Saccharomyces cerevisiae S288C: one gene and its partner. Changing the gene in region 1 together with any one later gene gives a genetic interaction. Each region holds a gene or a part of one and is shown on either strand. Other genes may lie near its edges.

The links. A genetic interaction does not mean that the proteins touch.
Region 2: of SUC2 (region 1) and ATH1, extra expression of one rescues a mutant of the other (dosage rescue), as found in Saccharomyces cerevisiae (one study listed by BioGRID).

What each region holds. Positions count from the first base shown.
Region 1 is NC_001141.2:35,615-39,543, forward strand, and holds SUC2 (beta-fructofuranosidase SUC2), read left to right. Parts: upstream 1-1,770; coding exon 1,771-3,369; downstream 3,370-3,929. Other genes in the region: YIL163C (uncharacterized protein), read right to left, coding at 1,285-1,638; SMU2 (Smu2p), read left to right, coding at 3,819-3,929.
Region 2 is NC_001148.4:613,468-619,543, forward strand, and holds ATH1 (alpha,alpha-trehalase ATH1), read left to right. Parts: upstream 1-1,911; coding exon 1,912-5,547; downstream 5,548-6,076. Other genes in the region: TFIIH complex kinase subunit CCL1, read right to left, coding at 1-1,091.

The DNA of each region.
Region 1 (3,929 bases):
CAACAGAGCATAAGTCAGACTCTTTGCCATTTTTAAAAAGCTGCGAAGGCGAACGTGACTACGGGGTGCGGGTTTTTGTATTGCTAATGTAGCATGACAGCTTATCCAATGTTTTGTTGTGTTCATTCAAACTATTTTGAGCCTCACTTCAATTTTGTTTGACTACTAACATGGCAGCATGCGTCGTTTCTAGGTGCTAGCCAGGCTGTGAGAACGTAAAATTAGCCTATGTTCAACATTCTCTGCTTTTCAATGTCACTGTTCATTTTGTTACTATGAAAGTAGTTCGTCGCAATTTGTACTTTTCTTCGAAAGTCTTCTTTTGCAGTAGATGAAGTGTGTTCTGAGAAATTGATGCTTTCAAATGGCCTTAAAAAATTTTTGTATCATAGCTAACAACATACTGTTGCGCCAGGGGAAGTGAAATCATGGTTGTATATTACAATAGCATTATGTGCATTTACCAAGTATGGAAAAGCGGAAAGTGTGAAAGAAGTTTATGAAAAAAGCGGAAAATAAAAAAAAAAAGTTTATTTTCCTGTGACTTCTGGGAAGCAGTTAGACCTCCTTCGCTGTATTCTTAGGTGCTATACCTCATTTCCACGATGGTAATAGACGATCAGTCTATTAATGCGCTAAAGAACGTAGAAAAGTTATTAACTGAAGAAGCTTTGCTAATGCCGTCGCACATTAAACGGCTAGACATTGCCTTGAATAGGAAGCCGAATAATCTACGAAATATCATGGAGCTTCAGGGCCTTGCATATACTATAGTAAAAAAAAAACTAAGTTTTCCCCTGTAGTAAACAGGGAGATACCGTACGGAGGTCTGAATTCCCTACAGAAGTAGCTGTAAAAATTCAGAATTCGCAACAACCTATAATTGAGTTAAGTGCCTTTCCAAGCTAAAAAGTTTGAGGTTATAGGGGCTTAGCATCCACACGTCACAATCTCGGGTATCGAGTATAGTATGTAGAATTACGGCAGGAGGTTTCCCAATGAACAAAGGACAGGGGCACGGTGAGCTGTCGAAGGTATCCATTTTATCATGTTTCGTTTGTACAAGCACGACATACTAAGACATTTACCGTATGGGAGTTGTTGTCCTAGCGTAGTTCTCGCTCCCCCAGCAAAGCTCAAAAAAGTACGTCATTTAGAATAGTTTGTGAGCAAATTACCAGTCGGTATGCTACGTTAGAAAGGCCCACAGTATTCTTCTACCAAAGGCGTGCCTTTGTTGAACTCGATCCATTATGAGGGCTTCCATTATTCCCCGCATTTTTATTACTCTGAACAGGAATAAAAAGAAAAAACCCAGTTTAGGAAATTATCCGGGGGCGAAGAAATACGCGTAGCGTTAATCGACCCCACGTCCAGGGTTTTTCCATGGAGGTTTCTGGAAAAACTGACGAGGAATGTGATTATAAATCCCTTTATGTGATGTCTAAGACTTTTAAGGTACGCCCGATGTTTGCCTATTACCATCATAGAGACGTTTCTTTTCGAGGAATGCTTAAACGACTTTGTTTGACAAAAATGTTGCCTAAGGGCTCTATAGTAAACCATTTGGAAGAAAGATTTGACGACTTTTTTTTTTTGGATTTCGATCCTATAATCCTTCCTCCTGAAAAGAAACATATAAATAGATATGTATTATTCTTCAAAACATTCTCTTGTTCTTGTGCTTTTTTTTTACCATATATCTTACTTTTTTTTTTCTCTCAGAGAAACAAGCAAAACAAAAAGCTTTTCTTTTCACTAACGTATATGATGCTTTTGCAAGCTTTCCTTTTCCTTTTGGCTGGTTTTGCAGCCAAAATATCTGCATCAATGACAAACGAAACTAGCGATAGACCTTTGGTCCACTTCACACCCAACAAGGGCTGGATGAATGACCCAAATGGGTTGTGGTACGATGAAAAAGATGCCAAATGGCATCTGTACTTTCAATACAACCCAAATGACACCGTATGGGGTACGCCATTGTTTTGGGGCCATGCTACTTCCGATGATTTGACTAATTGGGAAGATCAACCCATTGCTATCGCTCCCAAGCGTAACGATTCAGGTGCTTTCTCTGGCTCCATGGTGGTTGATTACAACAACACGAGTGGGTTTTTCAATGATACTATTGATCCAAGACAAAGATGCGTTGCGATTTGGACTTATAACACTCCTGAAAGTGAAGAGCAATACATTAGCTATTCTCTTGATGGTGGTTACACTTTTACTGAATACCAAAAGAACCCTGTTTTAGCTGCCAACTCCACTCAATTCAGAGATCCAAAGGTGTTCTGGTATGAACCTTCTCAAAAATGGATTATGACGGCTGCCAAATCACAAGACTACAAAATTGAAATTTACTCCTCTGATGACTTGAAGTCCTGGAAGCTAGAATCTGCATTTGCCAATGAAGGTTTCTTAGGCTACCAATACGAATGTCCAGGTTTGATTGAAGTCCCAACTGAGCAAGATCCTTCCAAATCTTATTGGGTCATGTTTATTTCTATCAACCCAGGTGCACCTGCTGGCGGTTCCTTCAACCAATATTTTGTTGGATCCTTCAATGGTACTCATTTTGAAGCGTTTGACAATCAATCTAGAGTGGTAGATTTTGGTAAGGACTACTATGCCTTGCAAACTTTCTTCAACACTGACCCAACCTACGGTTCAGCATTAGGTATTGCCTGGGCTTCAAACTGGGAGTACAGTGCCTTTGTCCCAACTAACCCATGGAGATCATCCATGTCTTTGGTCCGCAAGTTTTCTTTGAACACTGAATATCAAGCTAATCCAGAGACTGAATTGATCAATTTGAAAGCCGAACCAATATTGAACATTAGTAATGCTGGTCCCTGGTCTCGTTTTGCTACTAACACAACTCTAACTAAGGCCAATTCTTACAATGTCGATTTGAGCAACTCGACTGGTACCCTAGAGTTTGAGTTGGTTTACGCTGTTAACACCACACAAACCATATCCAAATCCGTCTTTGCCGACTTATCACTTTGGTTCAAGGGTTTAGAAGATCCTGAAGAATATTTGAGAATGGGTTTTGAAGTCAGTGCTTCTTCCTTCTTTTTGGACCGTGGTAACTCTAAGGTCAAGTTTGTCAAGGAGAACCCATATTTCACAAACAGAATGTCTGTCAACAACCAACCATTCAAGTCTGAGAACGACCTAAGTTACTATAAAGTGTACGGCCTACTGGATCAAAACATCTTGGAATTGTACTTCAACGATGGAGATGTGGTTTCTACAAATACCTACTTCATGACCACCGGTAACGCTCTAGGATCTGTGAACATGACCACTGGTGTCGATAATTTGTTCTACATTGACAAGTTCCAAGTAAGGGAAGTAAAATAGAGGTTATAAAACTTATTGTCTTTTTTATTTTTTTCAAAAGCCATTCTAAAGGGCTTTAGCTAACGAGTGACGAATGTAAAACTTTATGATTTCAAAGAATACCTCCAAACCATTGAAAATGTATTTTTATTTTTATTTTCTCCCGACCCCAGTTACCTGGAATTTGTTCTTTATGTACTTTATATAAGTATAATTCTCTTAAAAATTTTTACTACTTTGCAATAGACATCATTTTTTCACGTAATAAACCCACAATCGTAATGTAGTTGCCTTACACTACTAGGATGGACCTTTTTGCCTTTATCTGTTTTGTTACTGACACAATGAAACCGGGTAAAGTATTAGTTATGTGAAAATTTAAAAGCATTAAGTAGAAGTATACCATATTGTAAAAAAAAAAAGCGTTGTCTTCTACGTAAAAGTGTTCTCAAAAAGAAGTAGTGAGGGAAATGGATACCAAGCTATCTGTAACAGGAGCTAAAAAATCTCAGGGAAAAGCTTCTGGTTTGGGAAACGAAGGAACTCCAATCGGGAATGAGGAGAGCACAAATAAAGCTAAA
Region 2 (6,076 bases), on another chromosome or scaffold:
CAATAATAGTTTTTTGCCGCAATTTTCTTGGCCTCTTCAGTACTCGGAGGTTTACAATCTTCAATAATACTTTTACACTCGCGTATTATGGTTAGTAACTTCGCGGAGTCTATCGAATATTCTTCGCTCTCTGTGGACTTCTCTTTGTTTTTCTCAGTTGTACTGGCATCATTTTGTGGTTCTTCTTTTTCGTTTCCCGGTACTGATTCCTGGCTACCTTCTCTGCTGGGAAATTTTGTTTCTAAATACCTTGTGACCAAGGCTTCATCCTCAATCAATAATGTTGCTAGTGTTATTTGGGGTGGAGTGTAGAAATATACGACATCGGTTAATAATGCGGCAGTTATTCTCTTCTTACACCTATCGTATATTTGGCCCATGTAATTTAAATCAACCTTACCATAAAGGACGTTCTGGATATCTAAGAAAAACCCATGAAGCGGTTTGTAAGGATGATGGTTCAACAGTGAAAATTTCAATGATTCTAACAACTTAAACTCGAATTTGAGAACACTATCTCTAGTAGATTTGGCCTTTTGAGCAAACGAGTCCACGCTAATAAAATAGTTCTCCGATTTGCAGGCTAGAAAGATAGTAGTATGTACAATACTTTTAGGATCTATTTGCATAACAGAATTTTCTAAGAAAAAACGCCTAAAAAAGGATATCGCAGTGGCCACTACTTCGGTTGGCAAATTTAGATGCTGTGCTATTACCTGAACTTTTTTTGCGTAGAAATTCACCAAATCGAGTTCTTCTTCCATTGTCAAAGGGATAGCCTTTGCTTCTAGTACTTTTATTTCTTCTTCTGTTAAATTGTGTGCTTCTCTAAATTTTAATAAATTTTCCTCAATGTAAGCAATCGCTCGGGCATTGGTATCTACCCTTTTCTCCTGAAGTTGATCTTTAGTGTATGACCACATTCTATACTGAGAAGAGTGCCTATATAAATCATCGTCAGAAATTCTTTTGTAGTTCGGTGGCTTGTTATTCTCATCAGCCGATTTTAATTTTGCCTCTTTTTCTTTTGCTGACATGGTAGCAGAAGGAGTATCTAATGTACTCTTTCCATTTAGTTGAATATCCGTCATTCTATCAATATCTGTGCAGCACAGTATTTTCCTCTCTTAAACTTAATATTCACTCATTTGTTTGAGATCTTTCTTAATATAAAAACTGTGTTAAGATCAAATTTATTACCCGGATTGTGAACGGCTTAAACAACGAAGGGATACCGCAGGAAATGAGAGGCCCTTTCTTCTCTGGATGGCAAACAGTTCGTGCTATCAAAGTCTGTACCAAGGTTATTTCACTCTTCAAGCCAGCAATAACTACTTTCTTTCAGGTCACCTCTCAGCCGTCACGTCTCTAGCTGAAGCTTTGTTATTCTCGCTTCACTAAAAACAAGTGTATCTACAATATTTACCAGTCTATTCGTATATCCCTTATCATTCTTTTTCAATAAGGGCAAATACTTCGGAAAAAGAAAGGAACATTCATCTTGATTCTAGCCGTAAAGCTATCACGTTCACTCTAAGCAAGCGGAAAGTTGAGCAAAATCAACGAACAATCTGAGTCAGCAAGGCAGTACAAGCATCTCTTCTTTGCCCCTCAAAATTTATTTCCTTTTTGGTATAGTCTTACTTCCAAGTCCAAGCAAGCACTACGTATCACGACAAACCAACAGCCGCGCCGTTTTTATATTCGGAAAGAGAATTCTTGTCGTTATTGAATAATAATAACAAAATTTCTCCACTTTTCACCATATTACCACTCCCTTTTTTTCAAGTAAAAAAAAAAAAAAAAAGAATCTTATTGCTCCTTAAAAAAGGATTCATCAGTCCTTTATGAGAGCCTGCTAGTATCACCTAATATTGCATCTGTTTTTACCGAAATTTCCTCATTCCAATAATGAAAAGAATAAGATCGCTTTGGTTCAATGCGGAGGCTTCTTATTCAAACCTTAACAATTCTCCTAGTTTGAGGAACAAAAATAGTACCGGTAATAACTCTCGCTCTAAAAATTATCGTTCTTTCTCAAGGTTTGACTTGATCAACTCTATACTTTTACTGATGATGCTATTTTTATTAGCTATCTTCGTCACTGCATTATATTTAACAAAGAGTTCCAGGCTTACATACTCACATGCCTCGAGGGCTGCCCTATTTAACCCTCTGGGTGTGATATCGCCGTCATTGGGAAATCATACGTTGAACTACGATCCAGAAGCAAGGGAATCTTCTAAAAAACTTTATGAACTCCTTTCTGATTTCAACACGGCATATTATGATGATGAGAACATGATTTTGGGAAGTAACTTGTTCTCAAAGAATACATACTCGAGACAACCATATGTTGCTAACGGTTATATAGGTAGTCGTATTCCCAATATTGGGTTCGGCTATGCCTTAGACACCCTGAATTTTTACACAGACGCACCAGGCGCTTTGAATAACGGTTGGCCCTTAAGAAATCATAGATTTGCCGGTGCGTTTGTATCGGACTTTTATTGTCTACAACCAAAACTAAATTCAACAAACTTCCCAGAATTGGATGATGTAGGATATTCCACTGTCATTTCATCTATTCCACAATGGACCAATCTACAGTTCTCATTAGTGAATGATTCTAAGTGGTTCAATCCACAAAATGTTACGTTGGATGACGTAACTAATTATAGCCAAAACTTATCAATGAAGGATGGTATCGTAACTACGGAGTTAGATTGGCTAAACAGTCAAATACATGTTAAAAGTGAAATCTGGGCACATCGGCACATTCATCCACTGGGAGTGGTTTCTTTGGAAATTTCCCTGAATACGGACCATTTACCTTCGGATTTTGATTCATTAGATGTTAATATATGGGATATACTTGATTTCAACACATCACATAGGACTGTTCTACATAGCACGGGAACAGACGAAAAAAATAATGCGGTTTTCATGATTGTTCAGCCAGATAACGTTCCATCTTCTAATTGCGCTATTTACTCAACGTGTACTGTAAAGTATGAAAATTCCACCAATCCAATAAATTCTAGTGAATCTTTTGAAGAAAAAGATGTTTCTTCTAATATTTATAATGTTATTTTGACAGAGGACCAACCCAAGATAATCGTTCATAAGTATGTTGGTATTATGTCTACTGAGTTCAATAAGAACAAAGAACAACAAGACAATACTAATATTGGTTTGGCCAAAATGATAGCTCTAAACAGTAAAGGCAATTACGAGAAGCTTCTGTCAAGTCACAAACGTGCGTGGTATGACCTTTACAACGACGCCTTCATTGAAATTCCTTCTGACAGTCTTTTAGAAATGACAGCAAGATCGTCCCTATTCCATTTACTAGCAAATACAAGAGATTACAATGTCTCGAGCGATAGGGGTCTTCCCGTGGGAGTTTCTGGTTTGTCATCAGATTCCTATGGTGGTATGGTGTTCTGGGACGCAGATATATGGATGGAACCTGCCCTATTGCCTTTCTTCCCAAATGTGGCTCAAAATATGAATAATTACAGAAATGCTACACATTCGCAGGCAAAGTTAAATGCAGAGAAATATGGATACCCCGGAGCAATATACCCCTGGACATCTGGTAAGTACGCTAATTGTACTTCTACGGGACCTTGTGTCGATTACGAATACCATATTAACGTTGATGTCGCTATGGCCTCCTTTTCCATATACTTGAATGGACACGAAGGGATTGATGACGAGTATCTGAGATATACTACATGGCCAATTATCAAAAACGCAGCCCAATTTTTTACTGCTTATGTTAAGTACAATTCTTCCCTAGGATTGTATGAAACATATAATTTGACAGATCCCGACGAGTTTGCTAATCACATCAATAACGGGGCTTTCACGAATGCTGGCATTAAAACACTTCTAAAGTGGGCAACAGACATTGGCAATCATCTCGGCGAGGTCGTTGACCCCAAATGGAGTGAAATTTCCAAAGATATTTATATCCCTAGATCCTCATCTAACATCACTTTGGAATATTCTGGTATGAATAGCTCAGTGGAGATTAAACAGGCGGATGTGACTTTAATGGTTTACCCACTTGGATATATCAATGATGAATCCATATTGAACAATGCAATTAAAGATCTTTATTATTATTCAGAAAGACAGTCTGCGTCTGGGCCTGCAATGACATATCCGGTTTTTGTGGCCGCAGCTGCTGGTCTGCTGAATCACGGCTCTTCTTCTCAAAGTTACTTATATAAATCGGTTCTTCCATACTTACGGGCTCCTTTCGCTCAATTTAGTGAGCAATCAGACGACAACTTTTTAACAAACGGATTAACCCAGCCAGCATTCCCCTTTTTAACAGCTAACGGTGGATTTCTACAGAGCATTCTGTTTGGGTTAACAGGAATCCGATATTCTTATGAGGTTGATCCAGATACTAAAAAAATTAACCGTTTGTTAAGGTTCAATCCAATAGAACTACCGTTGCTCCCTGGTGGTATCGCTATTAGAAACTTCAAATATATGAACCAAGTTTTAGATATAATAATTGACGACCACAATGGTACGATTGTTCATAAATCAGGAGATGTTCCTATTCATATAAAGATACCAAACAGATCTCTAATACATGACCAGGATATCAACTTCTATAATGGTTCCGAAAACGAAAGAAAACCAAATCTAGAGCGTAGAGACGTCGACCGTGTTGGTGATCCAATGAGGATGGATAGGTATGGTACCTATTATCTTTTAAAACCGAAACAAGAGCTTACAGTCCAACTGTTCAAGCCTGGCTTAAACGCAAGAAACAACATAGCGGAAAATAAGCAAATAACAAACTTGACGGCCGGCGTTCCTGGTGACGTTGCATTCTCTGCTCTAGATGGGAATAATTACACGCATTGGCAACCCTTAGACAAAATTCACCGTGCGAAGCTATTGATTGATTTAGGTGAATACAACGAGAAAGAGATTACCAAGGGAATGATTCTTTGGGGGCAGAGGCCCGCAAAAAACATTTCCATATCTATTTTGCCTCATTCTGAAAAAGTCGAAAATTTATTTGCGAACGTGACAGAAATTATGCAAAATTCGGGAAATGATCAACTTCTTAATGAAACCATTGGTCAGCTTTTAGATAATGCCGGAATTCCTGTCGAGAACGTTATTGATTTTGATGGCATAGAACAAGAGGATGATGAATCTTTGGATGATGTGCAAGCCTTATTGCACTGGAAGAAGGAAGACTTAGCCAAGCTAATTGAACAAATACCCAGACTTAACTTTCTAAAAAGAAAATTTGTGAAAATTCTGGATAACGTGCCAGTGAGCCCAAGTGAGCCATACTACGAAGCAAGTCGCAACCAGTCGTTAATCGAGATATTACCCAGTAATAGAACGACTTTCACTATTGATTATGATAAATTGCAGGTGGGTGATAAAGGGAACACAGATTGGAGGAAAACAAGATACATAGTTGTGGCAGTACAAGGAGTGTATGATGATTATGATGATGATAACAAAGGAGCTACAATCAAGGAAATTGTTCTCAATGATTAAATGAAATGATGCATATAAGTAGCGCTTTTTTTAATATTATAAGTTTGGATAAAAGTTACCAATTTTTTCGTAGGATATATATTTTAAAGGCACTATATTGAAAATATCATGCATGCTTATATAAAAGCTTTTTTTTTTCTATAGGGTGACATTTAGGAGCAATAATTTTTACTACAAGCTTTTTTTGCACCTTATATAGTAGTGACCTTGAAATTGGTCTTTTGCACCAGCGTACTTTAATTCCACTAAGTACTGTTTAGCAGCCTGTTTTCCAGAGCCCACAACAGTTTTCTATAAAATTTTCACATGCATTATATAGACATGATCTACCTACCAATTTGATCTTCCTGCCATTGAGATCAGTTCTTTCATTACATTGATTGCACATTTTTAATTGGCGCCTTTTCTAATTTTTTGTATGAGTCCATATTAAAAAAATAGACTTCAAATTCCTACTAGACGATTCTGATTCCATCGGGATTACCACCAGATTTGATATTGGCTCTTCTCTCGTCAGTAGGGTTTGAAC